Lytechinus pictus: one gene and its partner. The protein of the gene in region 2 purifies or fractionates together with the protein of the main gene of each other region. This does not show direct contact. Links are inferred from orthologs where the notes say so. Each region holds a gene or a part of one and is shown on either strand. Other genes may lie near its edges. The genes, in order: GATA zinc finger domain-containing protein 1-like and PHD finger protein 12-like.

Region 1 (16,696 bases), on a different chromosome or scaffold from region 2:
AATATTGATGAGAATCATAATAAATTTAGCTTGTTTTTGTTATTTTGGGGGAAATATAGTCCTAAAAGTTCCAAATCGGGCTTGATCGAGTTTGATCATTACAAGATCTAATGTTAGAGGGGGGGGGGGAGGGGGTGAGACTTGAAGATCGAGCGGAGAGACCAAATACAAAGTATGTTAAAAATAAGCTAGTAATAGTATATAGGCCTATGACATGCAGAATAAAGATACGTAAATCCCTGAATTTAAAACATTTTATGATGCCATATTTAGCCCGAGTATTCTACAGTACATGGTCACCCTCTAACCTCTCTGTAATATCATTTTGTCTGAAGCAGCTGATGGATATATATAAATGATATAAATTCCATTTTTACAGCTTCATTGATAAAACAAATTATTTCACAAGTTACATCTTCAATTAATTTTTCATTCAGTCAGGGGCGGATCCAGGAATTTTCAAAAGGGGGGTGGCACATTTTCCCCGAGGAAAAATTTGACAAGCAAAAAAAAAGGGTTCAACAAAAAGTTAAGGGTATTTCATCCAGGAAAGTTTGACAGGCCCAAAAAAGGCCTTCACTTTTAAAAGGGGGGGGCATACTTCTGTTTAAACAGCATTTTTACATTATACAAATTTCAATTGTGCCTCTCAAAAGGGGGGGGGGGTGGGCACAGGCCAGTTGTGCCCCACCCCCCCCCCCTGGATCTGCCAGTGCATTCAGTCACTAATTACATCCCTCACATATCACCTTACTCATTTCATTTTTTTTTACTTTTTTTTTCTCTCATCATTCTTTCATCTTTTCTCACATTTTTCTATCTAATACCCTTTTTACACACGCTAAAATTTCCTTAACCCCGTACTATAGGTGGGGCTAAATTGCCATTTAGCCCCACCTATAGTACGGGGTTAAGCTTAGCCCACTTTCTTTTTACACAGCATTTTTGCAAAGTGGGCTAACCCCACCTTTAGTACGGGATTATTTGGCCCTGCAAAAAAGCAGGGTTATCCCAGCAATTGCGGTGCTAAGAGCGATAGTACGGGGTTAAGATCGCTAGTGTAAAACGAAAGTGGGCTAAGCTTAACCCCGTACTATAGGTGGGGCTAAATGGCAATTTGGCCCCACCTATAGTACGGGGTTAAGGAAATTGTAGCGTGTGTAAAATGGTACGAGTGAAGTACTTGTACTACGAATGATCGACAAAAACCACTAGTCCGGGGTTAGCGAGTTTCGTGTGTGAAAAGCAAGCATTCCTTATCCGGGGTTAGCAATAACAATTTGGCATGTGTAAAAAGGAAAAAAAATAGTACGGGGTTAAGGATAGTACGGGGTTAGCGATAGTCCGGGGTTAAGAAAATCCTGTGTAAAAAGGGTAAAAATTATCATTATTTTGTCTTTGCAGTACTTATTATAAAATATTGGGGCCAGGCCACTAATATAACTTCAGAATGTCCAGCCATGATCCTAAATTACTGTACATGTATGCAATAATTATGTATCAGTGGAGAGAAAAAGAAAACATAGTTACGTTATCTGAATAAAATCATGCTAGAGACAATTATTCATAAAACATGTATTCTTGACAATCGATTGATATACAAAATAAAGAAATCAAATCTACTGCAGATATGCTTTATTGATCATCATTTCATTCATTTGATTATTTTCCTTGGAATTCCAGGACTTTCCTCCAGCTCCACCTCACAGGCGTACACTGTCCCTGGGCAGAGAGTGCCCGCAGTCCGTGCAAGCGCACTTTGCACAGTGCAATCACAGCTGCACAGCTCAAAATATGCACAGACAGTGCGCAAAATGAAATAAAATTGCACTAGTCTTCGTGAAATCTGTGGTAATTCTTGCAGCTAAAATAGACAGCACATCTATCTCTGCCACCCATAATCAAGAAAAGTGATGTTGGACTCTGACATGACGAGGCGTTTACTTGAAGCAAAATGTTGGCTGCAGGTGTCAATCGTATTTTGATGCGCTATGGAAATCGTACACAAATCACAATATTGTCGGCTGCTAACATTCGCATGGTCGCATCTGAACAATAGCGGCGCTATTGCTCCCTTTTTTATCCCATGATCCTTTGCGTAAAACTATTTGCGATATTAAGGTCTAGAGTCTAACATTAGACCTAGATCTATAACTTATAAGAAATTATCTGTGTGGCTAGTGGAGCTTTTTTTAAATTTGACTTTAACTAGCCAATGCTAGCCTAATTACTTTTTCAAATCTTTTCATTTTTAAGCACTTATTACATCCCGTCTTGATTTTTGCAATGATTTAGCATGTTTCACAATCTCAGTTAGATCGCCTTGGGAAACTCCGACATAATGCTGCCCGTAAAGTCACCATGTCCCCCAAGACTAAAGAGGTCATAACCCCTATACTAGTCCTTCACTGGTTACCTGTTGGCTGTTGTATGGTGGTGTGACCTTAATTCGCGCGTTACCTAATTTTGCGCACGGTTGAATATCTCAATTTATAATTAATATCTTGAAAAACTGATATCACCAACAGAAAGAGCGACTTCAAATTACGTAGAATGGTAATTTTCTTGAAGGTAAGGTCTCTATTTGTGAAAATATTGGCAAAACATCGGCAAATTTTGTCACCGTTTTGCGTCCGCTCCGAGAAAATTCGATCTTCTCGACAAGCATCAAGTAATCGCCAGTTTGCAAGCAGAGCTCTCCAAATAAGTAAAATGTGGTACCAACCGAATTCATGGCATTTTAACCTCCATCTGATATAATTATCTTACCTTTGTCTGCTTGATTTCTTTTCTAAATCCTTGCAAAACAATTGTGCGCAAATTAAGGTCACACTTTTTTATGACACTTTTTCAGCCGAGCGCGCACTATAGTATCCCTAAATTAGACCCCAAAAGAGCCAATCTGGAATAAAATTATTGGAAATGGTTTTTTGACTGATTTGAGTAGGTATGGGTGTCAACATTTACCAAAAAAAAGTTAGGAGGAATACGGGTTGGGGAAAGTGCTTTTTTTCAAGGTCAAAGGTCAATGACCTTTTCGTACATACTGTATAATGGTATCTCTGAGATGGAAAGGCGCAGGTTGGTGATAATGGTGTCCAAATGCACAAATTCTTACCAGAATATCAAATAGAATAAAATTAATGACCTAGAATGCACATTCACCTATCAAATTCAAGGTCAAAGCCTTTCAAAAGGTCAATGACCTTTTTTACATTATATACCATACCGTATAATGGTATCTCTGAGATGATAAGGTACATGCTGGTGATCATGTTGTCAAAATGTACAGATTCTTACAAGAAGATCAAATAAAATAAACTTAAGTACCTAGAATGCACATTCACCAATAAAATTCAAGGTCAAAGCTTTTCAAAGGTCAATGACCTATTTACATTATATACCATACTGTATAATGGTATCCCTGCGATGAAAAAGCACAGGTTGGTGATCATGGTGTCAAAATGCACAGATTCTTACCAGAAGATCAAATGGAATAAAATTAAGTACCTAGAATGCACATTCACGCATAAAATTTAAGGCCAAAGGTCAATGACCTTTTATACTACATATACCATATTATATAATTGTATCTCTAAGATAAAACGGTGCAGGTTGGTGTTCTTTGTGTCAAAACACGCATATTCTTACAGGAAGATAAAATAAAATTAAGCATCGAGAATGCACATTCACCCATAAAATTCAAGGACAAAGGTCAATGTCCTTTTTAACATTAGATAATAATAATAATGGTATCTCTGAGATAAAACACCGCAGAATGGTGATCTTGGTGCCAAAATCAAAAGACTTGTACAAGAAGATTAAACAACACTAAAATAAGTATAAAGAATAAACTTTCACCCTTGAAATCCTAGATCAGAGGAAATATATAATCTATATGATATAAAATTAACCAAAAACAATATCTTTTGTGTTCATATTTTATATCTGAATAATGTTAATAACCATGGCTAATTTGTAATGAAAACATGGAGGTTTCATAATTTCGGTCTGAAATAATGAAGGCCATGGAGAATGTATTTAGGGGTCAGAGGTCAATGAGCCCTTTCCAAAATATCAGTGGAAATTAAGTTAAAAAAGTTGATAACCAAATAACACTTTTTCATATACTGCGATGCATTGCCAAAAGCACTGAAAAAATAAATGAAATCAAGTATATAATTTGAAATGATTTTTATCTTAAGTAGCAGCATTTAATGCATCATTATATCTAAATCAAGGTTGTCGTGTCTTTTCTCTCCAGCGATAGGCCACTCACCTCAATGCTATAATAAATACTATAAACTATTAGCTTAATCTTCTGAAAATGGATAGGACAGGTCTAACTCTCATGTCACAGCTAGCATCATCTGAGAGCATTTCCAAACAGCAGAGGGATGATGATGATGATGAAATGAAGGCCATCATTAGAGCTGCAGCTTCTGTCATATACATGTAGTAAATTATATATATATCAACTTCAACAAAGGTGAATTCCCTTATTATTAGTACCTTTCATCAGTTCATTGCGAGCTGGCAGAATCTCTTGTGATGCTAATGCTGCAAGACAAAACTTCATATCTGCTCTCTGCCGTACGTCACCCATGATGCTATTTCTACTAGGTATCAGTTTGTACAAGGATCATGTTTTGGTCCAGAACAACTGATTATTATCATGCACAAATTAGGCATATAACAATGAAGTTCAAAAGGAGATGATAGCTTACAAGTACACATCCATCGACCTAACAAAACTCCTACAGCACCACTTCCAGTTCTTGAGAATCAAGCTGTGCAATTATCAGTAATAATATAGATCCTGGTCTGATATCCCTTGACAGAACGTTAGGCTTTCATTGAATGGGCCAGATCAAAGTCTTGAAAATGTCAGAAGGTTTTCAAGAGTTCAATTACTCTTTGCTGAAGTTGAGACACTTAACTTCATCTATGACAAAAAAGCTGCAGCTCTAATGATTGCCTTATTTTAATTCTTCGTCATTGTCCCTGGCTATATGAAAATGTTCTCGGATGATGCTTGCCATAAGACTTAGGCCTATCCTTTCCATTTACAGATTAAGTTATAGCGTTATAGTATTGATTGTAGCATTTGAGGTTAGTGACCTATTGCTACAGAGAAATTAGTACCTTGATTTAGATTTATAGAATGCATATCTAAATGCTGCTACTTTAGGTAACTTCACCATTGTCACCATTTCAAATTATATCACACATTATTTTTTTTACACTTTTGTCAATGCATTACAGTATATTATAAGAAAAAGTGCTATTTGATCAAATTTTACCTCGAACTTGTATTTTGACATCATCATTGGTCAAGGATTCAACTATTAAATTTGTGTTCTTTTTCCACGCAGGTCAGTCTTTTTCCCATCAGAATCACTATACCTACATGCCACAATCACGTTATATCGACCTATTTACTTAAATTCCCTGACGCTATTGACATAGTTGATTGACCTTTAACTCCTAAATATATTTTCCATGGCCATTTTTTATCCTTATTTCTTTCAGAGTGAAATTATTAGACTTCCAAGTGTTCATTACAAATAGTTATCTTTCTTTCTATTATTCACAAATAAAATGTGAATATAATGGATAAATTTCTTTTTTGGGGGAATCATGCATGGATATATAAATATTTATCAACTTTTGACCTTTGACTTTGGATATTGGATTATTTTGAGTCTTTTTTATCTTCTTGCAAAAATTGCTTTTTGACATCAAAATCACCAACATGCAGCGTTTTATCTCAGAGATACCTTTATACGATATATAGCCTATGTAAAAAGGTCACTGACCTTTGACCTTGAACTTTATGGGTTAGTATGCATTCTAGGTGATTAATTTTATCTTATTTGACCTTCCTGTAAGAATCTGGGAATTTTGATACAACGATCACCAACCTGTGCCGTTTCATCTCAGAGATACTATTATACAGTGTGATACATAATGTAAAAAAGGTCATTGACCTTTGAAAGGCTTTTACCTTGAATTTTATAGTTTAATATGCATTCTGGGTAATTAATTCTATTTTATTTGATCTTCCTGTAAGAACCTCTGCATTTTGACACCAAGATCACCAACCTGCACCTTTTCATGTCAGAGATACCATTATACCGTATGGTATACAATGTAAAAAAAAGTCATTGAGCTTTGAAAGCTTTGACCTTGAATTTCATTCATTTGGTGAATGAGCATTGTAGGTACTTGATTTGATTTCATTTGATCTTCTTGTAAGAATCTGTGCATTTTGACACCAAGATCACCAACCTGCGCCTTTTCATCTGAGAGATAGCATTATACCGTATATGGTATATGATGTAGAAAAAAGGTCATTGACCTTTGAAAGGCTTTGACCTTGAAATTTATTGTTTAATGTGCATTCTGGTAATTAATTTGATTTTATTTGATCTTCCTGTAAGAACCTCTGCATTTTGACACCTAGATCACCAACCTACACCTTTTCATCTCAGAGATACCATTATACCGTATATGGTATATAATGTAATAAAGGTCATTGAACTTTGAAGGGCTTTGACCTTGAATTTCATGGGTGAATGAGCATTGTAGGTACTTGATTTTATTTTATTTGATCTTCTTGTACGAATCTGTGCATTTTGACACCATGATCACCAACCTGTAATATTTTATCTGGGAGATACCATGATACAGTATATTTAAAAAGGTCATTGACCTTTGACCTTGAAAAAAAGCACTTTCCCCAACCCATATTCCTTCTAACTTTTTTTTGGTAAATGTTGACACCCATACCTACTCAAATCAGTCAAAAAACCATTTCCAATAATTTTATTCCAGTTGGTTACTAATTACGGGATACTACTAGTCGATCGCGATGGAATTTTGAGATCGTGATACCAGCGAAACCGTTGACCTACTTTATAATTCCGTCAAGCGAATTGGACTTTGGGATCTTGCCTTCCGTTTGGTATTAATGGTTTTGATTAAGTTTGTGTGAGCTGTGAGAAACTATTGATTGAAAATCAACTTCATGATAATTTTCAAAATGTGCGCAAATTATGGTCACCCCATCATACAGCGCATAACTTTTAAATGCTCCTACTTGTTTTCCATTCAATACACGGAACTGCACCACAATACAACTCTTCCTTGATTTACTACTCCTTACAATCCCTCTCGCAACCTTACATTACATGTACAGGTAAGTCTTCTAGTTCATCCTTACTTGCTGTACCACAATCTCATAATTAATGGGGGGGATCGATCATTTCAACATGCTGGGCCATTCCTATGGCTATGGAATAAAACTTCCAAAAGAAATCGGCAATCATGGCAATGTGAATGTTTTTTATCTCACCACTTTCAAAAGTTCTCTGAAAACCTGGTTATTCACACAAGCTTTTAGTTTTACTAGGTAATTAATTAGTCGCCCCCTCAGGTTTTCTATCTTCCTTTCTTTTTCTTTTTCCTTAAGGCTTTACTTTCTTTTGACTTTATTGCGCCATGAGCATCTTTTTATGATGGATATGGTACCGGCGCATTATTAATAAGACTAGTATACCCAGTGGTTGTGTGTCCGGACGGGTTGGGTGTCCGGACACATGACTTTTACTCTCAATTTTGAAAAGTTTACAAGCAATGTCTTTAATTCTTTTTAGCACAGAATATAAGAAAATATTGTAAAGAACAAATATTGATGGTGAAAAAAAACTATTCAACCTATATTTTTGGTTTATTCCTGAGATAAAAACAAGGCTTCATTTCTGTTACGTGTCCGGACACCCAACCCCCCATCCTATCATGACTATGTAACTGAGTGTTTGCTTACATTTCTCTTGAATATGATTCGCCTATTCTTTCCTTTAGTTGACTGAGATTTTGCCGCATTGACGATCTGCTTGTAACGCATCCTCTTGGCCGGCCTTCCCGACTTCCTTCCTCCTTGGCTTTTTCCTCCTCCAGCTCCATTTCCACTCGATTTCCCGTGGCCGTTTCCATTGCCATTTGCTGAAGAATTATTCTGAGAATCGTCGCTATTGTTATTCTTTACATAACAACCATTACAGATTACTGAGCCCGACTTCTTTTTCCTCCACATACATGTCACCGACGTCTTGCAGGAAGAGCAGTATGTTTTAGGTCCAAGTGACATTTTGTCTCTTTTGATTGAGTGTAGACCGTATGTACGGTAGGCATGCAGACTCGGCTCACTTCGCATTCAGAATGTGTACTGTACGCAGAAATGTACAGATGGGACCGGTCCGGGCTCGCCTGCAGGATTGACCAAACTCAACGAATTATTTCTGCGACCAAACTCCGTCGAAACGATCAGTCGCTTAGCGCCCCTTACGGCATATGCATTTTATTGTCACCCATAATTTCCCCTCCCCGTCTTTTGATCAAGCTATAATTTGTGTAACTCTTTCATAGCTACTTCACAGTAACGAAGAAAAATCAGATACGTGCTGTTGGCTGAATCTTTTGGGTTTTTTTCTTCATTTTTTAGAAACTAAAGTTTATTTGAATAAAGTGAAAAGTCAACACAAGCTTATAATTGAGAAAATGTCATCAAATTTGAGATGTAAAAATGAGACAACAAAATTAGTAATATGTTCATCCTGGTTGGCATGCAACTAAGGGAACAATGACATCACCCACTCACTATTTCTTCAAAATTTGAAAAAAATAGTGAGTGGGTGATGTTATTGTTCCCTTAGTTGCAATTAAAGGGTTTCCCAATAAAAGATTGATGACTCATTTGCATATGACTGCATTTTTGCACACAACAGTTATCTAAAAAATAAACTGTCTTAAAGAACAACCCTTTTTTTAATATGAAATTTGCAGTATTATGACAGTTTGATATCTCTCCTTTTGTTCAAACTTTTTTTGGGGGTGGGTAGAATTCCTTTTAAATCAGTATTGCACCTGTGGCAGCCAAATGGCTGTAACTTCGAGCACAAAATACAAAGGCGATGCATGAAACATATAAATGTGGTTTAAAAGATATAAAATGCAGAATGTAAAGTAAAACATCATGACAAAGGCAATGTCAGACCAAATATGAAAATAATATGGGGGAGGAAACGATAGGAATGATTTAGTATTTGTAATGAGAGAGACAGAGTGCTGAGAAAAATAAATTAAATAACATCGCACAAGGAGTAGAAAGCATACACTCCTTCAAATGCAACAAGGCTTATTCCTCAACGAATCTCCCATTTTTCTACTCTCACTCAACACTACATAACTAATATTAAAAGCTTAAAACAATTGTATAAAATTAATGACAATTATATCACTTTCTTTATACACAGAGAGAGTACTTTCTTTGTTACAATAACATCTATGGTTGTTATATCCTTTTACTTTTTTGCAGCTTTAGATTCTCTAAGCATGCCCCTAATGCTAAAAAAGTATAAAAGTTTGTAGAAGATTTACATGCCTCAAAGAGACATGTCCTTTCTTGGACTCCAGAAAAAACAAGTGAAAGCACTTTGGTGGAACTTTTATAAATATATATTTTTCTGTTTTGTAAATTACTTATTAGATTGGTATATTTCATTAATTTAGTTCTCAATTCTTAAATGATCAAAATACACACAAGGAAACTTGATATGAAGCAAAAATCAAAATAGCTATATTCACACAAGACACAATTCACTTTATTATCAGCTATAATATATCTACAGTTTTGAAAGTATTCACAGTATATACACAGAGAAAATAAGTTTTTCTTCAGATATTACAGTTCAATAAAGATACATTTAAAGAAACTTATTTTGAGTTTGACTGCTTTCATTTGTATCACTTAGTAAATAAACCAGTTTGTGAGTTTCTGCCGAATATGAAATCTTAATAACCCATCAGGAAGTACATCGTGCGATGTCAGCAATTATTCCAAGGTAGCAGCTGGAACCTTCAGCTCAGACAAGAGATGGGCATGGTCCGGGCGGGGCAGGGTTCAAACCATTGTTTACACACAATGGGTCGCCCTGGCCTCCCACGCTTTGCCTGATCAGAACATTCTGAAGTCACTGCTAGGTAGCACATTATTCAACTTTCTTCTTGTAGTAATATTGAAGAGATTAGCATTTAATCCATGTAAATAATAATAGTAATCCAGTTTCTACAACAAAATCCACTTAAATATTGATAATAAATTTCACAATTACAAGTTCTAGCATACAGAAGTAGGAACTTTTTGTAGGAACTTTTCTACTTTTGTAGCATTACCTGGGAATAACTTCATCATGTTATAAATAAGCTCTAACATAATTTTTATGTATATCAATCAACAGACATGTGAACATAAATCCCATATGGAGGGAGAGTGGAATGTTTCAACCTTAATCATAAAAAAGTGATACCAAAGAGTTGTGTTTCAGTCAAACATGCTTCATACATTAGCATACAGGGAAACCTATGGATCAACGACAACCAAATTCCTTTACAATTAAATAAAAGTAGATGTGACAACTTTTAATGACAAATCACACTTGACTGCACAATCTCATACAGTGAAAGGATCTAAAAGTGATTACAATGAATGAAACCAGGAGATGTGAAATATACATGTAATCTCAACATCACACTACATAACCCTCAAGGTGATAAAGCTCATATAAAACGTAAATAGTGTGATCATTCCCATATAATCACAAGCTTTTAATATGGTTGGCTGAACAGAGGTTAATGAGTACTACAACTGACTTTGTACAAGTATAATGAATCGTACCAACATGCTAATATTAAGCTTATCATTGCATGTACTATGCTTCATGAATGTTTTAAATATTCAAGGAGTGAAATTCAATACAAAGAGTATACCTTACAACTTACATGAATTGTGAAGTAGCATAAAACTTTCGCCATTAAAAAAAAACTCTGGCAAACAAAATTATGCCATTGAAACTTACACATTAAAAACTCTGGGCAAAAAGTTTGCCAGAGTTTTTCTTTTACGCAACAGACCCAAGAAAATATTGATTATCGGTTTCAACATGCAATGCTCACTCTATATTATTTGTATTGTTTTTCAAATTAATTTTTTAGAACCCAGGCATTTATCAAGGACGGTAATAAATGTGATGTCAGTCATATTGTAAAATTCTCTTTCAAAACCAAACATTAGCTACACTGTGTCTTGCCTACTTCTGAAAATTCATAGTCCCCTCAACTATAATGTAATCAGCGAATAAAATTCAGAAAGTTTTCCAAGGTAAACTAATGTATGACCTAAAATGACCTTTGACTTAACCATGTGACCACCAACAGTACTATAATATATATGTACTCCTAGGTGCATCAATGACCCAATATTAACACATTGACCAGTTTGAATGATAATTCACAATAGATTTTTGTGACAATGACAATTACTTATACATCTATTCATAATCTGTTTTACATTTTAACTAACAAAAATCTTGTTTGCCTACTCTGTTGAGAAACTAAAACCGGATACCTTTTATGTTAAGCCATTCTATTATTTCATTGCAATTGTACCATTTTAAGTCCATTAACACGACCATCAGTATTTTTTCAATTTTGAGCAATTGTTTTACAGAAGAAAATAGGAAAGAAATCCTTGATAAAATCTTCCTTCATTACAAACATATGTAGAAGGCCAGTTTGATTATCAAGCAAAAAACTACGATAGTATGTCTTGTTATTATTCTGTAATACAATAACAAATATTCTGTAAACAATCATTACATTTAAATAATCACACACACACACAAATGTATTCCGATAAGAAATGAAAAAAGCAAATTCTTTTTATTCCCCTATTTTTGAAATGGTCTAAGAATGCAAATTACACTCGAAAGTGAATTTTACAAGATCTTAAAGATAATTATATTTTGTTTGTAAACTTCACCATATTAGTTATACGAGATGCTTTTGAAAATAGTTCTTACATGCACTGTACATTGTACTAACAGAATTGTTGTCATGCAAAGCAGCTGATCATGATGCTAAATTTGACAAGGAAACTTCTTTTTTTCAAATCATGTAAACAAAGCTGACAAAATCACCTATATTAATGGAGACAAAACCTGGCAGACTTTAGTGCACTTAAATATTCATTGTGGTAAGATCCATTAATATATTCTTAAGAAATATACATATAAAAAACTATTCATGTGAGAAATATATTACACCAGACAATAACATATATATTTTACAATAACATAGCACTTTATGCTTCTCAATGGCATTTGAAATGATATTCAGTGATTTTGATAATCTCCAATGACAATCACAATGAGAGTACTTGGCTTATTCTATCCTGTCAAACTCCAGGGTAAAGATCTGCAGTATCATAGATGGCCATCAATCATGACACAATTGGGATTCGTGGTGGGATGTTTCAGCAAAATTCTCTGAATACTGTATTTTAACATTAACTCAATTGAGTTATATGCAGACTGAATGCATTAAGATGAGAAAAAAAGTTTGCTTGATTTCAAAATGGTTGTAAAAATGCTATGGACTCTTTCTTCAGCTAACACTTGATATGACATTAAAGTGCCATTTCTGGAGTTTGCTAGTAGCTACTAGCATCTCCAGAAATTGAAGTGAATGTGGTTACCATACCTAGCTGTATCATTTGACTTTATTATTATATGGAAGTAGCTTTACATGAACTTTATTCTTGACCACTAGCTTACATGCAAATGATTGTGATTGTATCAATCAAGGGCCATGGGATGATTCAGTATGAATGAAAAATAACTTAGTCAACCCAATGGAAAAAAAAAACTTCATCCATGGTCAGGTGATAAGTGGTCAAATTAAGGAACAATAACTTGAAGTATATTAAGATGAATTGTAGATTAAATCTTATATTCAAAATGATAAAATTAAATATGCTTGATTGAGAAGTTGGTATGACTGAAATGACTCATCTTGTAAATGCTATACTATTAACCATCTTTCCTATCTTTTCCTCATTCCTCAGGATATTTGCTTTGACTGCAGCAATGGTGTCTACTTGGTCATCTATTGCTTGGTCAAGCTGGGCTAGCTGGGCTTGAAGAGGTTCTAACTCATTGTCTGTAATCCTGTTAAAGAATATATCCATAAATACATACAGAAGTTATAGAAATTAACAAAGAAAATGTATGGGGCAATTAAGTATTTTCCAGGTTTCTACTATAATAGTGCACACATAAATTATGGGTGCTATTCTATCTGAGAAAATTTTACAGTAGTGCACTTACTAGCAGTGATCAGTTGGGCAAGTTAGTTTGCATGACACATCTCCTAGACCATGCAGTGCTCTTGCAGCAGAATAATAATCAACAAAAATGACTGATATCAATCACCTGAAATTTCTTTGGAAATTCATATTGACTATTTCGTTGTTAAATGTAATTTCACATAAAAATACTGACACAATGTGAACATTGGGAACATGTATGTTAACATAATGGAAGAGTGTACTGTGGCTGTGATAACAGCATTTGAACCTTCGGTTACCAAACTCCCTATAAACATGATAGCAAGGTTCTTACCCCTGTTCACGTTTGATTGCTAGACCATGTTCTTTATTCTCTCTCTGCCACATCTCCAGTTCCTTCTGCATGCTATCTACATCTTCCTGGAGATAGTCCATGATCTTTCCTAGAGGATTGGCACTTCGGGTCAAGGTCTGTATAGCACTGCGGAGCTTCTCTACTTCACGCTGGACTAGCTCACGTTCTTTACGTCTGGCAGGATCCAACACCACAGGCTTATCCTGTGATCAAAACAAAACACATACATGTAGATACATCAGTTTCACTATCGCAATCATAACAACAAGATGTAATGCTGTCACAAACTTTGACTGAAAACTAATTCTGTCCATACGCAATTACATAACAGATAAAATGTTCATTAAAAGCTACAACAAAAATGATATATCATCTAAAGAGGATGTTAAACATTCTCAATCACAACCTACATATTAAAGATGGTAATATCAAATTACTTGCTTGTTTTCAAATTATATTTCCAAATAAAGACATTTAAATGGCAAGATGTGAGATTTAAAGTTTAAGATAATTTGAACTTCACGTTTGCATGCTTCACCTTGTTTAAAATAACATTAATATATGAATTCCCATGCTTTTAATAAACTGATTAAAGAAGAACATAGTAACTTACATCTTCCTTATTTTGTGATCCTTCAAGCTCTTTCTTGGTTTCTAAGATCTTCTTAACAAGGCCTCCATGTTCACCATCATCTTCCATAGACTCACTTGCTTGGGGCTGCAACAAAATCATATCACATTTGTTATCACACAAGGACCCTTATTTTGGTTTAATTTAGACCATGGTCTAACTCTGTGCAAAAATCATAAGAAGCTGAAAACATCAATATTTTGCTTACATTGTATATTCATTATCTTTGCTTTTTTGTTTCTTGATACTAAAATTATGAAGAAAATTTCCGAGAAAGTTTTGATTTTAGTGTACAGTGAATTGATAGATTGAACCAGTACTGATAGAGATGTGCCACAATTGGCTATTCATAGTTGAATAGTTCAACTTAAAAACAGAACCTTAGACCAGAATTTAGATTATCAATCATGAATAAAAATCAACAATGCTGTATATACTTTATCAATGCAATATAAGACAGTTCAGCTAGTCATGAAAAAAATAATAATAATACAGCAACAAAGCATAATCCAAACCATCTAATACATTGACTGTCTTTTTAATCAGAAAGCTTGCATATTTGAGCAATGGGGGGGGGGAGATTCCATTAAGTATCTTAAAAGTTTTTTCTCTCTCCCTCTCTGACCAGTTAGCTTTCTGTCAATAAGATGGATTTTTGTGGTGTAAAACAGATGTAGATTTCAATCATGAATAAAATATCTTACCCTTGGCTCATCTTCCATAGATTGCTGAGTATCCTCTACTACAAATATGTCATCTTCATCATCTGAATTATGACCATTATCAACAATCACATTAGATACCTGCTTACCACTTCCGATCCTGTACAAAGAGAAGAATGACAAAAGAGCAAAAATACAGAAGTTATAGATATCTTGATAATTTTTATTACATATAATTACTGATAATATAAACCTGTCATTAATTAAAAAATACTAATAAATCAATATGAGGAAAGTAGTGCCCCATTATCACTATCAAAATTAAGTTCATTTCTTTAAATATATACAATTTGGATATACTGAAAAGAACAAAGACAAATATGTCAACTGCAGTCAGTATATGCAGTTTGGGTGATAGAAATATGTACAATCATATACATATTTTGAAATAACAAGTTTTTCTTCTCTCACAGACATATAAACAAATGTCTGATTTGAAATGCAACCATGAATAATTGGGAAAATGAGAAAATATCTTGATAGGAAAACAGAAAAGTTAGTACATACCTTCATCTTAAGTCACTTAGATAATAATAATAGTTTACTATTCGGAATACAGGAATCACTTCTTGATAAATTACAACATTTCCAAAATTCTGCTGCAACTTATAACTCAAAAAGGAAAGTTTGAACACAACCCCTATCTTATCTGACCTTCATTGGCTTCCCATTCAATCAAGGATGAAATATAAACTTCTCATATTAACATTCAAATGTATTCATGGTATTGCCCCTGCTATCTTCAAGAACTTGTCCAAATTCATAAACCCAAGCGAAATCTCCATTCTGGCTCACAAAATCTTCTCTCTGAAATTACTGTCAAGACCAAATCATATGGGGATCGGGCTTTCCAAAAAGCTGCACCAGCACAATGGAATTCTCTACCACCGACTTTACGAAATATTACCCAGCTTGAGAAATTCAAAGTACAGTTAAAAACCCACCTCTTTCAGAATGTTTAACTTAGTTACATGTAGGTTCAATCCATGTTTAATATTTTTTGATGTTATGAATAATTATTTGATGTCTGATTTTTAAATTTACAATTCTAACCACATTTCTCGCTTTCCCCATGCATACAGAACGGTAGGTGTTATGCAAATTAAGAACTCTAGCATTATTATTATTATAATATCTCACCTTGAAGTATCTTCAGTAGAATCTTGTTTCTTGAGCTTTGGAGGGGCAGGTCTTGCACTGCTGGGACGGGCCATCCTTCGACTATAATTACAAAAAGATCTAGATTTGTAACTTGTTCAGCATCAATGTCATGTTTAAGTGACAAAGAGACTATGCATTTTGGTCCAACCGAAACAGAATCCTTCATTCTTCATATGCAACCACAAGATATTCATATGAAATTTGCAGATTTTGAAAAGGATTCATTCCCCTTTAAAAAAATAAATTTAAATGGCAAACATAAGAGAAATGGGAACATAAGAGTCAAATGAAAACTAAGTTATAATCACCAATAACTTCTTCATGAAATTTGATGATGTAGAAATATTTGGTATCATGAAATGACTAAGAAATAAAAGGTAATAAGAACTCTTTTTACCAAGAATAAAGGTAACACAGTTCAACTACCAGGCTAAAAAAGTCTGCAAACCAACAAACACAAAGATCTAGTTAAACGTGATTCATTAGACAGGCTTTTTTATCATGCCAGACAAGAGGCGCGATAGCTCAGTCGGTAGAGCGGAGGATTCGTATTCCGGTGACCCGGGTTCGATTCCCACTTGGTGCGCTAGTGCCCTTTGGTAAGGCATTAATCCTCATTACCAGGTCCTTCGAAGAGGACC
Region 2 (16,339 bases):
TTTTTGGTACAAGGATGGCATAAAATGGCAATCTAATCATACATATTCACAACAAGCTTCAACAAAGTCAGTAAAAGTACATGTAAATCTTTTCCAGTAATAGAGTAGTCAGGTTGTTATTTCATCTGACAAGTGGTACGGTTCCCATTAGAAGGTCTCAACTGATTTTGATAGTACATAGTAATAGGGACTTTCTTGCATGACACTGAAAAAGTTAGACAAGCATGTACATCCTTCCTGCTTTGGGCAAACCACAGCTTACTTTTATTCAAACTAACACAAATACTCAGTTTATGAATTCTTACACAAATATTACAATATAAATTCTTTTATGTTTTCATGATACATGTAGAAAATTTATTTCCAAAGAAGCCAAGCCAGGGTCGGCTCATCAGCATTTTCCCCAAAATTACCAAGGTACATTTAAACAAACACTAATTTTGAATTTTGAATCAAGTACATAGAATGTACATGTGAGAAGTAAACTGCCATGGCATGATCTCTAGCACACATTACATAAAACACAAGCAAGATTAGAATACATGTAAGTACCAAAAAAAAAAAGTTTTAAGTGTTGGTTTGTGAGCACTTCATTGATGAGACAAAATGATGTTTCGGTTATAAGGTATCTAAGAGCCAACATTGGTTATTTTTCAAAGCATACAATGTTTACACTCATCATGACCATCATCTGAACCGTAATTTTGCATGAGTGTGAACTGCTTTGAACAACCCTACTTCCATGACCTGGTATTCAGGAAATGATTTGTTTGTTTTCATTTACATGTAACTCTCCCAAAGCAGTAAACCAGCAAGTCTTTATCTGAATAAATGCCAACTTTGCATTGCACACAAAACTTGATTCTGTTAAGAACAAAACTACTTTGGAAGTCTAAGATGAAATATTAAGAATATCGTGTAGAGTTAACAATGACAGAGACAGGCAGAGTAGTGAAGAGATACAGAGAGAAAGACAGAAAGAGTGTGTGCGCCAAGAGAGTGAGGGTGTAAGAGAGAGAGAATAGAAAAAAGAGTAGAAAAGAAAAAGTAAAGCAAGACATTTCAGTTACCATTTGCATATATTGCCTCTGGTAGGGATATTAAATAAAAGAAAGATTTTATGGTAAGATTTATGTTCAGATCTCAAAATTAAATCAATTTAAATCCAGATGTTTAAACAGATGGCATATGAAAAGCTAAAATTGACATGAAATTAAGAATAGGCCACATCCGTCATAATTATACCACTCACTGTAAATTAAAAAAAAGACCAATACAATTTTTGCTGCTTTTACCAAGTAGAACTTACTTGTTACATGTGAAGCAGACTTTAGCAGGTAGGGGGATCATCATATTATCTAGCTCATGAGGCTTCTTGTAGTTCTTGGATAGTTCCTCTTTTTTCTTCTTCTTAGTTGTCCCTGAGCATAAAAAGAAATAAAATCATGACAAGGAGAGCTGAGAATACACTGTATGTGATATAGTTTTACAAAAGAAAATTTGCACATTAATTACAGTATTTCTCTCAGGAACTTGCAACTTGTAAAGCCTAGGAATAAGGACAAATAATGGATTTTTTAAAGGGCTCCTGAATTTTCAGACATTATCAGTAGCTATAGATGGGCTTTTTTTATTCCCCCCCCCCCTCCCTCTAAAAAAGGAAACTAGGTTTTGATTTGAATACTGTTTTGTTTTTTATTAATCTTTAGACAATCTCACATTCAATGTATTGTACAATATGAAATGACAGAGGGGCCATCCCAAATTACCTGGTAGGGGTGCATGTTGCATCATCTCTGGAGGGAGAGAGAACTGCTTCGGATTCTGAATGGCTACAGCTTTGATGAGGTAGCTTAGAGGATTCTCAAACCTGACATAAACCTCCTCTTCCTCCTTGTCTTTCTTTTCTTCAGCCACCTCCACTAAATCCTTTGCCTTGTCAACATCCATCTTTTCTTCTTCTGTTCCCTCCGTCCGATTGGTATCTCCCTCTTCTGGCATTTCCTTTGGTATTATCCCAGCCTCTATCTGTGCCTCCCTGGAGAAAGAGTAAATCATATATCAGAGAATGAATTCTACCTTTTGACAAAATGATAATTCAAAATAGATTGGAGCACTGGGGGTTGCCATTAAGTTGACTGGATTTACTGGAAATACAATGCAGCCTCAAATTATCCATCTTTCACATAAAGAAATATGTTCTCACTACAAATTACGGACTGAAAATAATTACCGGTTAATTTGATCTTTTTTAAAAAGAGTTATGGAATAGAAAAATGTAATAATGAAAATAAATATATTAAAAAAAGCAACGCCTCTGGGAGTCTTGCCTGCATTACAGAATTCCATACAGGACTGTTGGCTTTGTGATATTGAATTATAATTTTTAATCTTATTCATTTATCCTTTACCCAATCTTATAATTAAATTCAACAAAAGGGCGATTTTGTGGATGCCTTACTTCAAGGAATAAGGAAATTAATGGATATGACCATTTACAAATGAAACTAGGACATACAAATTTTCATCCAATTCTCTTCTGACCAAAATTCACAAAGGAGGTTCATACCCCAACTTCAGTTTTGTATGCATACTCACACACTGCATATGATCCAATCAGATATTTCATGTATGTGCGCACATGGGCAATTCACACTATGCTCGGATAAAACAAGGAGAGGGTTTCGTAGGCTAAAACTCATTTGTGAATTATGGTAATGAAGGCTTACTTGTAGGCCTGGATCTGAGCCAGCCGCAAACATGCCCTTCCTTCTCTCATGAGTCTGTCGTTCAGTCGATCATTCAGCCGGAGGGAGGTGGAGGCAGCTCTCTCCTTCTCCTTGGCAGCAGCAGCAACCTCCTTCTGCTTCTTCTCTCTCTCAGAGCGTTGCGCCTTCTCAATAGACTTGATAGTGTCAGAGAGTGTGACCTCAGTGTTCAATGGCTTCATGGTAAAAGGAAGAAAGCAATGAAGTCAACTCAATGATGTACCTGAGAAAACCTTTAAGTAGCTATTATGGCAGTCACCACATTGACAAGTATACTTGGTACCAGAAGCAAGCATTAGGAGTAGGGTAAGAACAAGATTAGAATTAAGGTTACAGTTAACATTGAGCTAAAGTTAAGACTGAGCTGAAAATAAAGGTTCAATCTTGAGGCTCCAGAATATAGATAAACGTGTAATAATCTTCTGCACCTATTCCCTAAAAGTTGCATTGTGCTATGGTAGTTGACAATACATAATTAATTTCAAAGAGAGAGGGGTGCAGAGAGAGAGAGAAAAAAAAGAATGAAGCCATATGTTAAATTAAAAAAAAAAAATTCATGAAAAGGTCACCTATTCTAGAGGCAAGTTCTTTTGATTCTATTGACCTTTAATTTCTAAAAGGTACGAGTTTCAATACCCCATGGATAGTCTCCAAATAAGGCTCAATATTTCCCTGTCCCCTTACCCTGAAGGGATAGGTTCATATACAAGTACTACATATAGGATCATGGTCACTTTCGTTGAGTAACCGTCTTTGTAACAAATACTTGACAATTTTAATGTCAGTTAATCTATTCTAACAGAAATCTATACAAACATTATATATTCCATGTCCTTCAAATGATTGGAATGAGTACATGTAGCTATCAACTACCTGGACTTGCAAGTCTAAATGTATTTGCGAAAATAAATCATTAAAAAAAACAATTTCATGTATGTGCCATAAAAAGAGAGCAGCTCACAAAGGACATCACAAATACAAAACCTCGAAATGAAATCCCACAAAAATTATGGGTTAACAATGAAATGTTTGTTCAAACATCTAATATTAAAAGTAGGTTAACCTGTAGCAGAGTAAAAACTTCCTTTTCTGATGAGTCTGTATGAAAGCCGCTCAGAATGCCTGATATTTACACTATTTCATTATTCATCAGAAATTTGTAGAGAATTTCCAGTGAAACAAGAGACCAAATTGAAAAATAGTAAGACAGAATGATCTTTGACATTTCTTGCTTTGTCAACAGTGAATGCATAATTTATCACAATCATATGTCCACCTAAGGATCTGTTTCATGTAATTCACATTGCATAGTTTGCTACAATTACTACTATAGTAGACCAGAAAAAGTAATTGATTTCCCTTTACTGTATCTAGGTTGAGTTCACCATCAAATAGAAATGGATGAACGTAGCAGAGATATAGTACTGCCCTAATTCAAATGATCTATATTTCTCCATTGTAACTATTAGATTATAAAGGGAATATAGGAGAATGTGTACTGTAACTGTACTGAGAAACACAAGCTTTAACCTTTGGGAGGAAACCTCTACTTTTCACCATGGCATCCAAAGGAGTTTAACATAATTGAATGCACATATGTCATGCAATGATAAATGGTCATGCCAAGACAAGTTTTTCATAAAATTTTTCACTGATTTACATGTACACTAACAAATTTAGCTTTTAACATTTTCAAATCTGATAGGGTGAGAGAAAATTTGTCACTGAAAAATGACAAGATGCTTCAAGGAAAGCTTCCTATCTCAACTCAGCTCCCAGCATACCACACCCCCATAAATGCAAAATGGTTTGTTCCATGATATTCAATCTTACCTGCGGTGCTACTGTGCATCTGTGACACAACCATTCTCCTGAGGGTAGATCCTCTTCTGATATAGGAGGGTTACTGTAGGAAGAGAAATGGAGAGAGAATCCTTACCTATTAGTTAGCAAATGTAACAAATTCACCATTAATGTGATTTGTACAGATTTCCAAGATCCTCTTCAAGTAAATCTATAATTACACAGGTTTAATAAAACACTGATTTTCCAGGATATGAAAATTAAATATAAATAATTCAATGGCAATGCAAGTCCTGTTATGTTCATTTAAAATTCACTTTCACAAATGGGGTACAAGGATAAACTGTTGTGCAAAAAGAAAAAAACCTTCATAATACAAGAACTGATCACAAGGCCTTGCATGAAGTACTGGCTTTCAGAGTACCATAATAATGCATGCATTATGTCAAACTCTCTACATTAATGTCAAGAGGAAGACTTCTTTTTTTTCAAAATCATATAGTTTTAAGTTCAATTTATAGAAAAGAAAATGATCAAACATTGTAAGAGCAATATTCAATACATTTTGAAGACTGTTCAACACTTCATAGAGCAGAAAATAAATGTAAATTAATAATATAATTGTCAACATCCAAATACTTCTGTATGAAATAGTTTATTAAATATAGCTGCTCAATGCTCATATTACAAAAATATTTAGGAGAGTGAAGGGACTTTGCTTCAAGTGAGAAAGTAAAAGCTGGCGCTTGAATAGGACTTCAACAGATTACATGTATGTGAAACAAAAATTTATGCAATTTCCCCCCAAATGGAATAATAATAAACTAAGTTTGATTGCCTCAGAGGAGATCGTGTAAAAGTATAGGCCCTACAGACATCATAACAGCAAAGAGGACTTCTTTAGGTCTATAAAAAGTATTCCACGTCTGTCTTTCATCTTTTGCCTATTGTATTCTGTATATGTAAATGTTTTTTATAAAGTCTGGTAAACAACAATTCAGCAAACTTTGAGGATAAATGTTCATGAAACATGCATGAAATATATATGAAATATATGAAATATGACTATATGAAATAGAATCTGACCGAAAGACTGGTTGTACAAGGCTAACAATATCATTGACCCTGCTAAAGCTCCAAATGACCTTCTGTAATATCCACTGAAAATGTACTCAGCTCAAAACTGCACAATAGACCAATGCTGCATTACATTGTGCAAGTTTGGTACATACAGTGCATGTACAGTATGATTCATGTTCAATGTTTTCTGTGTTATTGTCATCAAGAAAAGTCAGGACACTCTTCAAAATTATCTACATCAAAACAAGGTAAAATACATGTACATTGTACATAACTACTGACTAGTATACATGTACATCATTGTTAATAAAGGTACAAATGCAGACCATTAAAGTGTTTTTGTCCAGTAGATAAACAAATGCAAATAAATGTGTTAAAGGGGAACATCACTTGACAAAGGTGACCACCAACAAAAAGAGAGAATGAATAATTTTATTGCAGAATCATTTTACAGCAAAATATGATTAAGCACTAGATTTGCAGTTTCAAATCAGAGACAAGTGGAGCGACTCTGGCAGTCTCACTTGCATTACACGATTCAATATAGCAGCTATGCTGACTTTGAAAACTACTATAAATAATTATTCACAAAAAACATAGTTCATATAATGATACAATACTAGGATCATTGACCCTAAATGGCATTTGACCTTGATCATGTGACCTAAGACTTGTCAGTGATACTTGATTATCCCTTATGTCCACAATTCATAAACTATATCCATAAACTTTGAAAGTTATGACAGCAATTTAATAATTACCTCCAACATGGCCAAAGTTCATTGACCTTAAATGGCCTTTGACCTTGGTCATGTTTACCTGAAACTTGCACAGAATGTATAATGATACTTGATTACTCTTACGTGTAAGTGCTATGAATCAGATCCATAAACTTTCAAAGTTATGATGGTAATTCAACAAATACCCCCAACTTGGCCAAAGTTCATTGACCCTAAATGACCTTTGACCTGGTCATATGACCTGAAACTCGCACAGGATGTTCAGTAATACTTGATTACCCATATGTCCAGGTTTCATGAACTAAGTTCATATACTTTTTAAGTTATGATGACATTTCAAAAACTTAACCTTATAGATTTTGACTCCCCCAACATGGTCTTAGTTTATTGACCCTAAATGACCTTTGACTTTAGTCATGTGACCTGAAACTCGGACAGGATATTTAGTAATACTTGATTAACCTTATGTCCAGGTTTCATGAACTAGGTCCATATACTTTCTAAGTTATGCTGTCATTCAATAAACTTAACCTTCGGTTAAGTTTTGATGTTGACACAATACTACATTCATTGACCCTAAATGACATTTGACCTTGACCATGTGACCTAAGACTTGTCAGTGATACTTGATTACCCCTATGTCCACAATTCATAAACTATATCCATAAACTTTGAAAGTTATGACAGCAATTTAATAATTACCTCCAACATGGCCAAAGTTCATTGACCTTAATGACCTTTGACCTTGGTCATGTGACCTGAAACTCGCACAAGATGTTTAGTGATACTTGATTACTCTTAGGTCCAAGTTTTATGAATCAGATCCATAAACTTTCAAAGTTATGATGATAATTCAGCAAATACCCCAACTTAGCCAAAGTTCTTTGACCCTAAATGACCTTTGACCTTAGTCATGTGACTTGAAACTCGGGTAAGATGTTCAGTAATATTTGATCACCCTTGTGTCCAAGTTTCATGAACTAGGTCCATATACTTTTTAATTATATTGATGCTGCCGCCGTCGGAATGCGGCACCTAGTCTTACTCTGATATGCAGGTGAGACAAAAACTGACAAGATTTTTTTGAGTTCTGCGGAGTGTTTCAATAACATTTTCATCCGACAAGTTGTCAGATCTGACATCTTTCTCTGATGTTGATTGGCTGAGAGGTACTTTTACTATGGTAACTGTCGGATAAAATGGGACTTGTCGGATAAAACGTTGACAAGTCCTTTCATGAAACGCTCCCCTGATCTGAATGCAATACAAAATCATGCCACCCTACACTACATTTTTCATTCCAGAAACACAGATTAATTACTTTCAAATTTTTCCTCCTTTCCTTGCTTTTGGGGAAATAATTGTTATATTAATAATCATTTGGCTATGCAGGGTGCTACATAAGCACTTGCCTGATTGCCCGGGGCAAGTAAAAGTTAAGAGTCAGGCAAGTGTTTTGAAGTGAAGACCAACACCACTTGCCTGAATTGGGCAAGCAAAATTCTCAGAGTAGAATGACCAAACTAAGGGTCGATACGATTTATTGACCCTAAATTTGATCATGACGGGTATTAAAATCACTATGGAAAAAGAAATGCAATAACAGGGTACATCAGTTCATGTCAAAAGAGAAAAAAAGGTCAATGGTTTATAAAACCGCAATACTTTCTTTTGAAGAGGTAACACTTTTTTCTTTCAAGGATTTCTTTGGGCAAGTATACTCCAACTATTTAAAAATTTACTTGCCCAACAGGGCAAGTGCTTCTAAAAGTTATGTAGCACCCTGGGCTCTGGTAAAATAACCAACAATTCAAAAGATTCAAATACAATTACAGAAGTATGGTAGCCTCAGAGAAAACATAACAAGTTTGAATAAGAAAATCATTAAAAACAGACAAGTAATTATCCTCAAACTCATTGAATTCATCAATGGATCTGCACTTTCTATCCTAGCCCTGAAGAAGAAGATGAAGGGGGAAAAACTCCCCTCTCCCCTGTCAACCACATACCCATCAATTCTTTAAAACTCTGGTGCTTCAAGTAGCAAAAGAAGACTGGAGTCAGTCTACTAACAGCAGAACTTCCTCTCAAAGCCACATACATGTAGATCCTTTTCCCAGTGCAACTTATATCGTTCGCTGAGTCACTGACGGTTTAAAGCCTCAATTACTACAGTCAAAATAATCCTTTTCCATTTCTAATATAAAAAGAATTTTGAGCTGGCAGGAGGAATAGATTGTTGATTAAGACCGATAGACATCCCTTCTCCAAGGGAAATGTTGCTGACTACCCATTCATACATCCAGTATGATGACGAGCCTCCAAGTTGTTCAGCATGATGTACATCGCTGGTAAGCTGGGTATTATCTTGCAGTGAGATTCAAAGTTGTGGCACACAACTAGACATATTGCATGACACTCATTCAAATTTTAGTATGCACTTTTATCACTCAAGCTGATATACTGTACATAACACTGTTGTAAATACATGCTAATGCCTGTTAAACATGGCTAAACTTTATATTTTAATCTTTATTGCCTATATATGTACATAAGGGAATACATGTACATGTAGGTCTACTGTTGATTTCAATAGTGAAGAGTACTTACCAGCAAAATAGGGAAGGATAAAACAGGTCCTTTGGATCACCCCCCCCCCCCCGAACAGGTGGAATGCATCAATTTTTTATGTATTTAAAGGTCCCACTTTTCACCTGTGTCTGACTGTGATATGTTACAACAATGAAGCTCAGAAAAAAATTGTGTCCGAAAATAATCATTTAGTGCTTCAAAAAAAGTGAAACATAAAGTGACCGGAAACACCATCTTAATTTCATCACATACACTTATGTGTTCTATTATTATCGGTACGATATAAATTACACAAAAAATCTTTTATTATAAGGTATCAAAAGCATTTCTTTAGATTTTTTGTTGGTTTCAGAGTTTTTAGATTGATAGAAAGGCATCTATGTACATATTTGATCTCTCCTTTGTTTTTTTTTAATTACATGTCTGTAACGTTAACTTGAGCCTTTAATATCTTTGAAACTACATGTACATGTACCCACCATACTATTTGCTATCATTGAACAAGAAACAACAACATTCACCTATATTTCAATTGATTCACAAGCCTCATCATATATGATTATCTGCATTGCTCAGTCATCAAATACCAAATTACATGTAATGATAGACCTAATGTTTAATTAATGACTGTCATGTTTTGTTTGCATTTATCTACGTATGATATCATAAACTGGTATAAGCACATTACTACTGAGTATGCCTAAAAGTACGTCTTAAAGGCTAGATATTTATACAAGTGAAGAAGCCAGATGTAATGAACTTTAAAAATGATGGATGCTTTAAATAAATGTATGGATATAAAATCCATCACATTTTCTACCTGGGGAACATAAAAACACAACACCAAAGAAAAAAAAGTTAAAAGGGCCCTTATATATTAAAGATATTGAAAATTTATGGTGCCAATATTACACTGTAACCCCCCCCCCCCCTATAGAGCCCTGGATTTACCCCAAATTCACAGTAAGATAATCTACTCTAAAGACAGAGTCAATTCAACACATAGGACATTATGTGGTGACAGTAGTGCTGTCAATGAATCGGTATACTTGATGCTCAGTTTGAGAATGAATCCCTCCCTGGTAAATGTTTAGTCTCTTGGCCTGTATAATTCATGTACAAACATTTCTAGCATGTGTGCAGGTGTCTGCTAGTACAGTTTCAGGCAAACTGAGCTCAATTTCTGTGTAAAATTTGTCAGACACAATTCATACCATAACCATGCTAAAGTGATACATGTATTATTTCTACATGTACCATGTTAATTCTGATAAAATTTTCACTGTGCATTGGTCATTTATTTTCAGTTGTTGAAAGAGAAATTACACACTACATACTTACATGCATAATGGTGAAATACAAAGGATTTATCTTTATCAAATGAGACTTCTACAGGTATGTACATGTACTCAATTACATGTATTTTGCCTTCTCTTTTCTTCATGTCAACAACTTTCAACCAAGCTAACAAACATTATCTTGTCTGGAGGATCTGGCCATTTCAAAAAATTGTGAACTCATGAAACCCTATGCAATACATATAAAGTGGGCCGATTAACAAACAATTTGTTTGATTATAAATTGAAAACAATCTTAGATGGATGCATATTAATAACGATTCATGCTGTACCTGCTGTAACTCTTGGGTAAATGCAGCTAGAGCAACTGATTTTGAGATAAGATTCTTAATAATGCTCAATTTTGACCGTACATACATAGCATTACCCATTGATCAATCCAACTACATGTACCCCAGTTTGTCCACTTTCGGAGGGAATGATAAAATACTAGTCAGCCAGGCTGACACCCATTTCCCCTACATAATTGGACTTGAGTTCACTCTTTACATTTCATCACAGGGAAGCAATCCATGTACACTTTAGGCCTAAATTTACTGTTGTGTACATAAGTGCATGCCTGTGGATTGCAGAATGTTCCATGAGTGATAGGTCAAGAAATGAACATCAAAATAAAATTACAATGCATGAAGTATGCTGAGCTCCATGTACATGTAGGCACAGTGTATGGATAGTCATAGTGATCCTTATGAAAAAGGTTATGATTCTTTTCTGCATTTGAAAACAAGTAACTCACTATACCCTTATACCGGTGATATAAAAGAAAATCCTTGTCAATTGCAAAATAACCCTCAAACATTTCAATTGGGTTCAATACAAATTGTTATTCCCAATGCTCAAATCTATCACAAGCCATCAAAGGCCATGGTCATAGATGCACATTTTAATTGACATTGGAGATTGTTAGCAGTCTGTATCTTTCAGTTAAAAAGCATATTAATCTACATTACATGTACCTACAATGTCATAAACTAACATCAAACATTATTGCTACAAAAGAAAAAATATCTGTATGACACAGACAAACTTCAAAGGAAATCTCACTCATACAAAGCAGAATCCAAATATACATGTAGCTCCTAGGACAGACATTTTCTTTAACATTAGGTCTTGAATTGAAGACTCCTGACAATTCTTAACTTAATATAAAGTCAAACCGCATGTCTTTCACTACATCATGTACCCACTCGCCATGAAATGGCCCAGTGGTATAATCTATACAGACAGGTGGCTAGCTCTACAATGCTGAAACTTGGCAGACAAGACTGAACGAAAGCAGTGTCTAAAATCAAAATGCCTTTGCTCATTTCTCACATGCATATGCACTACATGTACATGTATCAGTATTACATGTAGCTTCACAGCTCAGGTGGAGACATCAAAGGGAAAAATAAATTTTAAGAAATATTAAAGAAATGAAGCGTTGTAAATATTATCACATTGCACTATCTTTTAGTACCTAGGCTGATGAGTCCACAACTGAGCCTAGTGCGATTTACCTTCCCTCTGCATGAAGGCCTAAATAAAAATAAAGTGCCAGATTTACGAGCTTGACTCAACTCACATTTGAGTTTTATACTTGTTCAGATATCATTGACAATCCTGCATTTCAAAAATGAAAATAATAATCTCCATCTAGACTCCATGAGTCTTTGGCAATTTAGCACCAGTCACCATAAGAATGGAAGGTTAATCATAAATGTGGGGGCCTTCTTTAATATAATATATGTATATTTAAAAAATATACAGCAACCCAATTGGTATCAAAATTTCTGTCATACTGTACATAGTATATTTACACACAAATTTGACAGATATATCCAAATATCAAATTTTGTAATATACATAGATGTGTACTTCAGCAACCACAACGTCATTAGAGTGTTTTCCTGCTTTTAAGCATACCCCATCAAAAAGTTGTAGCCTTTTTAAGTAGATGCTCACATGGATCTATGTAACATGAAACATAATAGCTCGATGGGTTTTTAAAGACGAAGTTCAGTTGCTAGCTTAGACAAGTCCACTAAACTGATCCTGAGGTACATGTCCTTTCGTTTCACAGTCACAGCGTCAACAAGTTGGACCGTTATTGTTGCTACATACTGCACTGCTGATAGTTCACAAATTCATGAAGTTTACAAACAAACCCCTGCCAATCTGGCGATGATGGAGACTTGATTTACAATGGTCCCTAACAGCACGATTTCATAGTGCTTTATCATCAAAACTTTGCAAGCCTTACATGTACATGTAGCATCACAAACATTTTAATGTCAGTAGGAAAGCAACTCTCCAGCTTCCGGTACATGTAGCCTATGAAAAGAGGTGAAATCACTAATTAAAAAATTCACTTAAATACAGCTCTAAACAGCAAGATACTGTACATGTATTTATATACTGTACATGGCACTAGTACATGTATGTAAAAAGCAAAAGGAAAAATTCCAGCTTGAGGGAATGACATTCAGTTCACCTTTTCAAATTTACAGAATTCAAACATTTCTTGTTGAGTTCATCAGACACATTTAATATTCAGTTGCATGTACATTTATAGGTGAACAGCAAAAAGTTCTGTTTGAATACTGTTAATTCAAAGTGTGGTGCATTCACCTGTCTGAAGTGCAAAGCCCATACATGTATGTGGAATTGCCCACATGTAACATACATTTAGTGCTCACATGTACACTATATACTAGTTTGAGTGTATGCATAACTTTCCAATTATAGACCTGCAGCTTACATGTAGATGTGTATACGGACACTCCATTAGCTCCTATTAAGTCTACTTTGTCAAGTCAAAGTAAGACACACAGTGCATCTGAATTCAAGTGTAATAAAGTTGCTGATCCTAGTTTTGGGGGTGTATTTCAGTGTGAAATATAGGCCTAAAGGTCATGCTTAGATGCAAATGTGCATGTGATATTGAACATCCTATCCTAATCCTAAGCCTATGGGCATGATCTGAAATGTAACTGTGAATTTCAGTGCGATTTTCAGTCCTACTTAAATCATTATTAAAAGTAAAACATGAAGATACCATATCAAGAGTAATTCATGCATTTAATGTTCTTTTGCATTTCTATCAATTTATTCATTTTTTTACTGAACATGCATAACATTTCTATGTCATTTTAAGCCAATACCAATTCTATCCCACCTTCAAGATTTTTGGAGGGAGTGGAAAGGGAGGGAGAGGTTATAGTCCTATTAGCAGATCTAGGTCTATGAACAATTTAAGTTTAGCTGGAAAAAAATTGTTGAAAAAGATAAAGACTGAATGGATTATGAAAAATTTGGTTGATTTCAAACAAGTATGTTAACTGAGCCATCCATACGTCATGTGACATACATGTTAACAATGCATGTCTGTATTGAATCACTTGAATGGATTAGAGAATTATAGGCCAAGAAAGAAAAAGACAAGATTTTCTTTCCACTTATTTCCTCTTTCCCACCCACTTCTTACATATCACTTATTTTGACTACAAATCGGATTCTGTAAAAAAAAAAGGAAGTGAATTCAATAGAACTAATTTGATTAAAATATCCATGACACTAGATAAGCATAATAGAAATTGGTTGAAATACATTGCCATGCATGATTAATATGACTCTTTTCAATGGGTATAAATCATCTATTCAAACATTTTTTCAAGTATTTTATCTTTATCAAAGTACATGTGTACAGTACTATGATACTTTCAGCATAAGTAGTTTTCCTTTACTGTAACACCATATTGGGATTGAGAACGGAAGTCTATTCATTATCACTCCTGTATCAAGATTTTCAAATGTTAGCTTGAAATCAATACCCATTTGGTGTACTCTAATTGTACTTGTATGTTCTTAGTTTTTTCAACTGGTAGATTCCAAATTTTAACCAGTACAGAAATTACCAAAATAGAGAAAAAATATCAAGTGTTCTGTTGAATGTACAAATCAAAGAAATATTTCAGAGGACACAACGCATGTTCTTGTGCCATAACGTATAACCAAGATCTCTTTTGCTCAGAATTCCCTTTTATTGAGAATTGAGCATTATAATTTAGAATGCCACAAATATTAAAGTTTTATTTCATGGACTTACCTTTAAATTATATTGAAATCCAATTCTACATTGTCATTATGTCAATAGAAATTTATATAGCAGAAGGCAAGTATATAGTTGTAGCATCAGTATTTGATTTCATTCAAATACCAGTCCTTAGTTTCACCCTGATCAACAGAATAATGAGCAAAATTTTTTTACTTTCAATTGATCTGTAGATTCTACTCTGACCAAGACTGGAGCAAAAAAAAAATCAAAAGACTTTTCAAATCTTCAGTTCAGACAAATTTGGTTGAAAATCAATTGCAAGTAGACTAATCTAATGAGTAATGTTGTTCTAGAGTATTAGTATTATTAATGTCTAGAATCTAATTCTAATCTACTAGAGTAACATTAGATCTAGGCCTAATTCTATTTTAGAAATTCTCAGGGGCTTTTTAATTTTTTGTCTATGTCTGACTTAAGAAATAAAATTTACCAGCACTGGAGGTGAAAAGATGCAGGGCAACGGTCACAGCAAATAAGATCTCCTCCCTCTGTGCAGCTATCACAGGAATCTCTATTGGTTGCTCTTCCTGTTCTTCTTGGTTCTGTTCTTCTGTACTTTCTTGGAGGCTCATCACTTTGTGGAGGAGCAACCAAAGCCTGAATTTGCTGTAAATATGACATGGAAACAGTTATTAACAAGTTAAATGTGATGAAGATAGAATGTGCAAGACACACAGCAATGAGCTCCCTTTCCTGGTGGTACGTTGCGTCGCCATTTTGAAAGAAAAAATAACGAGTTCTGTGTGCAATGGATGGCACAGCAAGCAGATTTTGTTGTTCGCACGCGTTGCGTGGCTGTGCATAAGTAAACGAGAACATCTGTCAAATCGAATTCGAGTCACAAACAAGTTTTTCAAAGGCAAAAATTGAATTTCACTTACCATCATGAGGCCTCCAGACGTATCCAGGTCATACTGGACAGTCGTAGCCATCTTGTGATTTGGTCTGCGTGTCAGTTACTTGAAAGGAATTTCGAGAAACAAGATGCAAACGAATCACTTATTTCCAACAAAATCTCCGTCCCCGTGTGGTAATGCACGGTAACACATCCCCACAAGTCGCCGCTGCCGTAGTTATCGCACTGTGGAGGTGCACCGAATTACATGTTCGGGTCGAGTGATGAAGGTTGATGGAAACTCTGATTCTGAAGAATCGAAAGCATGAATTTTCTCTAAATCACGCACATGCATATATATTATATACAGCTATCGAATAAGAAAATTCCAATAAAAGAAGCAGCTTCAATGAGAAGAAATCCTCGAAAAGAAATACAGCCCACACAGTAACTTTGCCGGACAGAAATTTACATATCGAGAGCTAGCCCGATGGTGGCGCACAACTGCGCATGCTCAGCTCGTTGATCAGTAATGCGCATGTGCAAAAGCAATGACTTCCACAAAATGCGCGAAATCAAATTCATAGCCATGTGGGTAAAAATATAATAAAAGCATTACCATACGGCGTCGGCGATCAAACTTTCTTAGAGCACCAATTTGTGGATGGACACTATGCTCTTACATTGAGTCCAAAATGGATCTTAAAAGAAAAAAAATACTGCTCTTACACATTTGCTGCACATCAAAATAACTGAGTGGACAATGCTCCGGGACAAAGCTGTGCCAAGCATAATAGGCTAGGCCTACAGACGTTTTCGGATGGGGAACGGACTTGCGCTTCTTACAATCCCCCAAATACAGAGGAATTCTTCCAATCCTGCATTTTCTATTTTATATGAGTGGTATCACGTGAAGTTCATTATTTCTCCAAACAGTAAGGCATTGAATCACCATTGAAACTCTATAGCCTAGCCCTAGGCCCTACGAGTTTATTTTTGGTAGCTTCCATGGCCTTATACGCATATTCTTTTGCGGGGGGGGGGGGGGGAAGGACGTGTAACATTTC

What was found.
Region 1: the proteins of PHD finger protein 12-like (region 2) and GATA zinc finger domain-containing protein 1-like purify together in Homo sapiens (affinity purification with mass spectrometry; 7 studies listed by BioGRID and IntAct, with this or other methods). This does not show direct contact. The link is inferred for Lytechinus pictus from reciprocal best matches to the Homo sapiens genes PHF12 and GATAD1.

What each region holds. Positions count from the first base shown.
Region 1 is NC_087247.1:57,322,007-57,338,702, reverse strand, and holds the start of GATA zinc finger domain-containing protein 1-like, read right to left. Parts: upstream 8,319-16,696; 5' UTR 8,219-8,318; coding exon 7,829-8,218; intron 1-7,828. Other genes in the region: TRAF3-interacting protein 1-like, read right to left, coding at 12,908-13,067, 13,521-13,744, 14,155-14,259, 14,877-14,994, 16,035-16,115. UniProt on the Homo sapiens protein: Component of some chromatin complex recruited to chromatin sites methylated 'Lys-4' of histone H3 (H3K4me), with a preference for trimethylated form (H3K4me3).
Region 2 is NC_087246.1:12,130,298-12,146,636, reverse strand, and holds the start of PHD finger protein 12-like, read right to left. Parts: upstream 6,097-16,339; 5' UTR 4,602-6,096; intron 2,945-4,601; 5' UTR 2,780-2,944; coding exon 2,730-2,779; intron 2,039-2,729; coding exon 1,770-2,038; intron 1,422-1,769; coding exon 1,310-1,421; intron 1-1,309.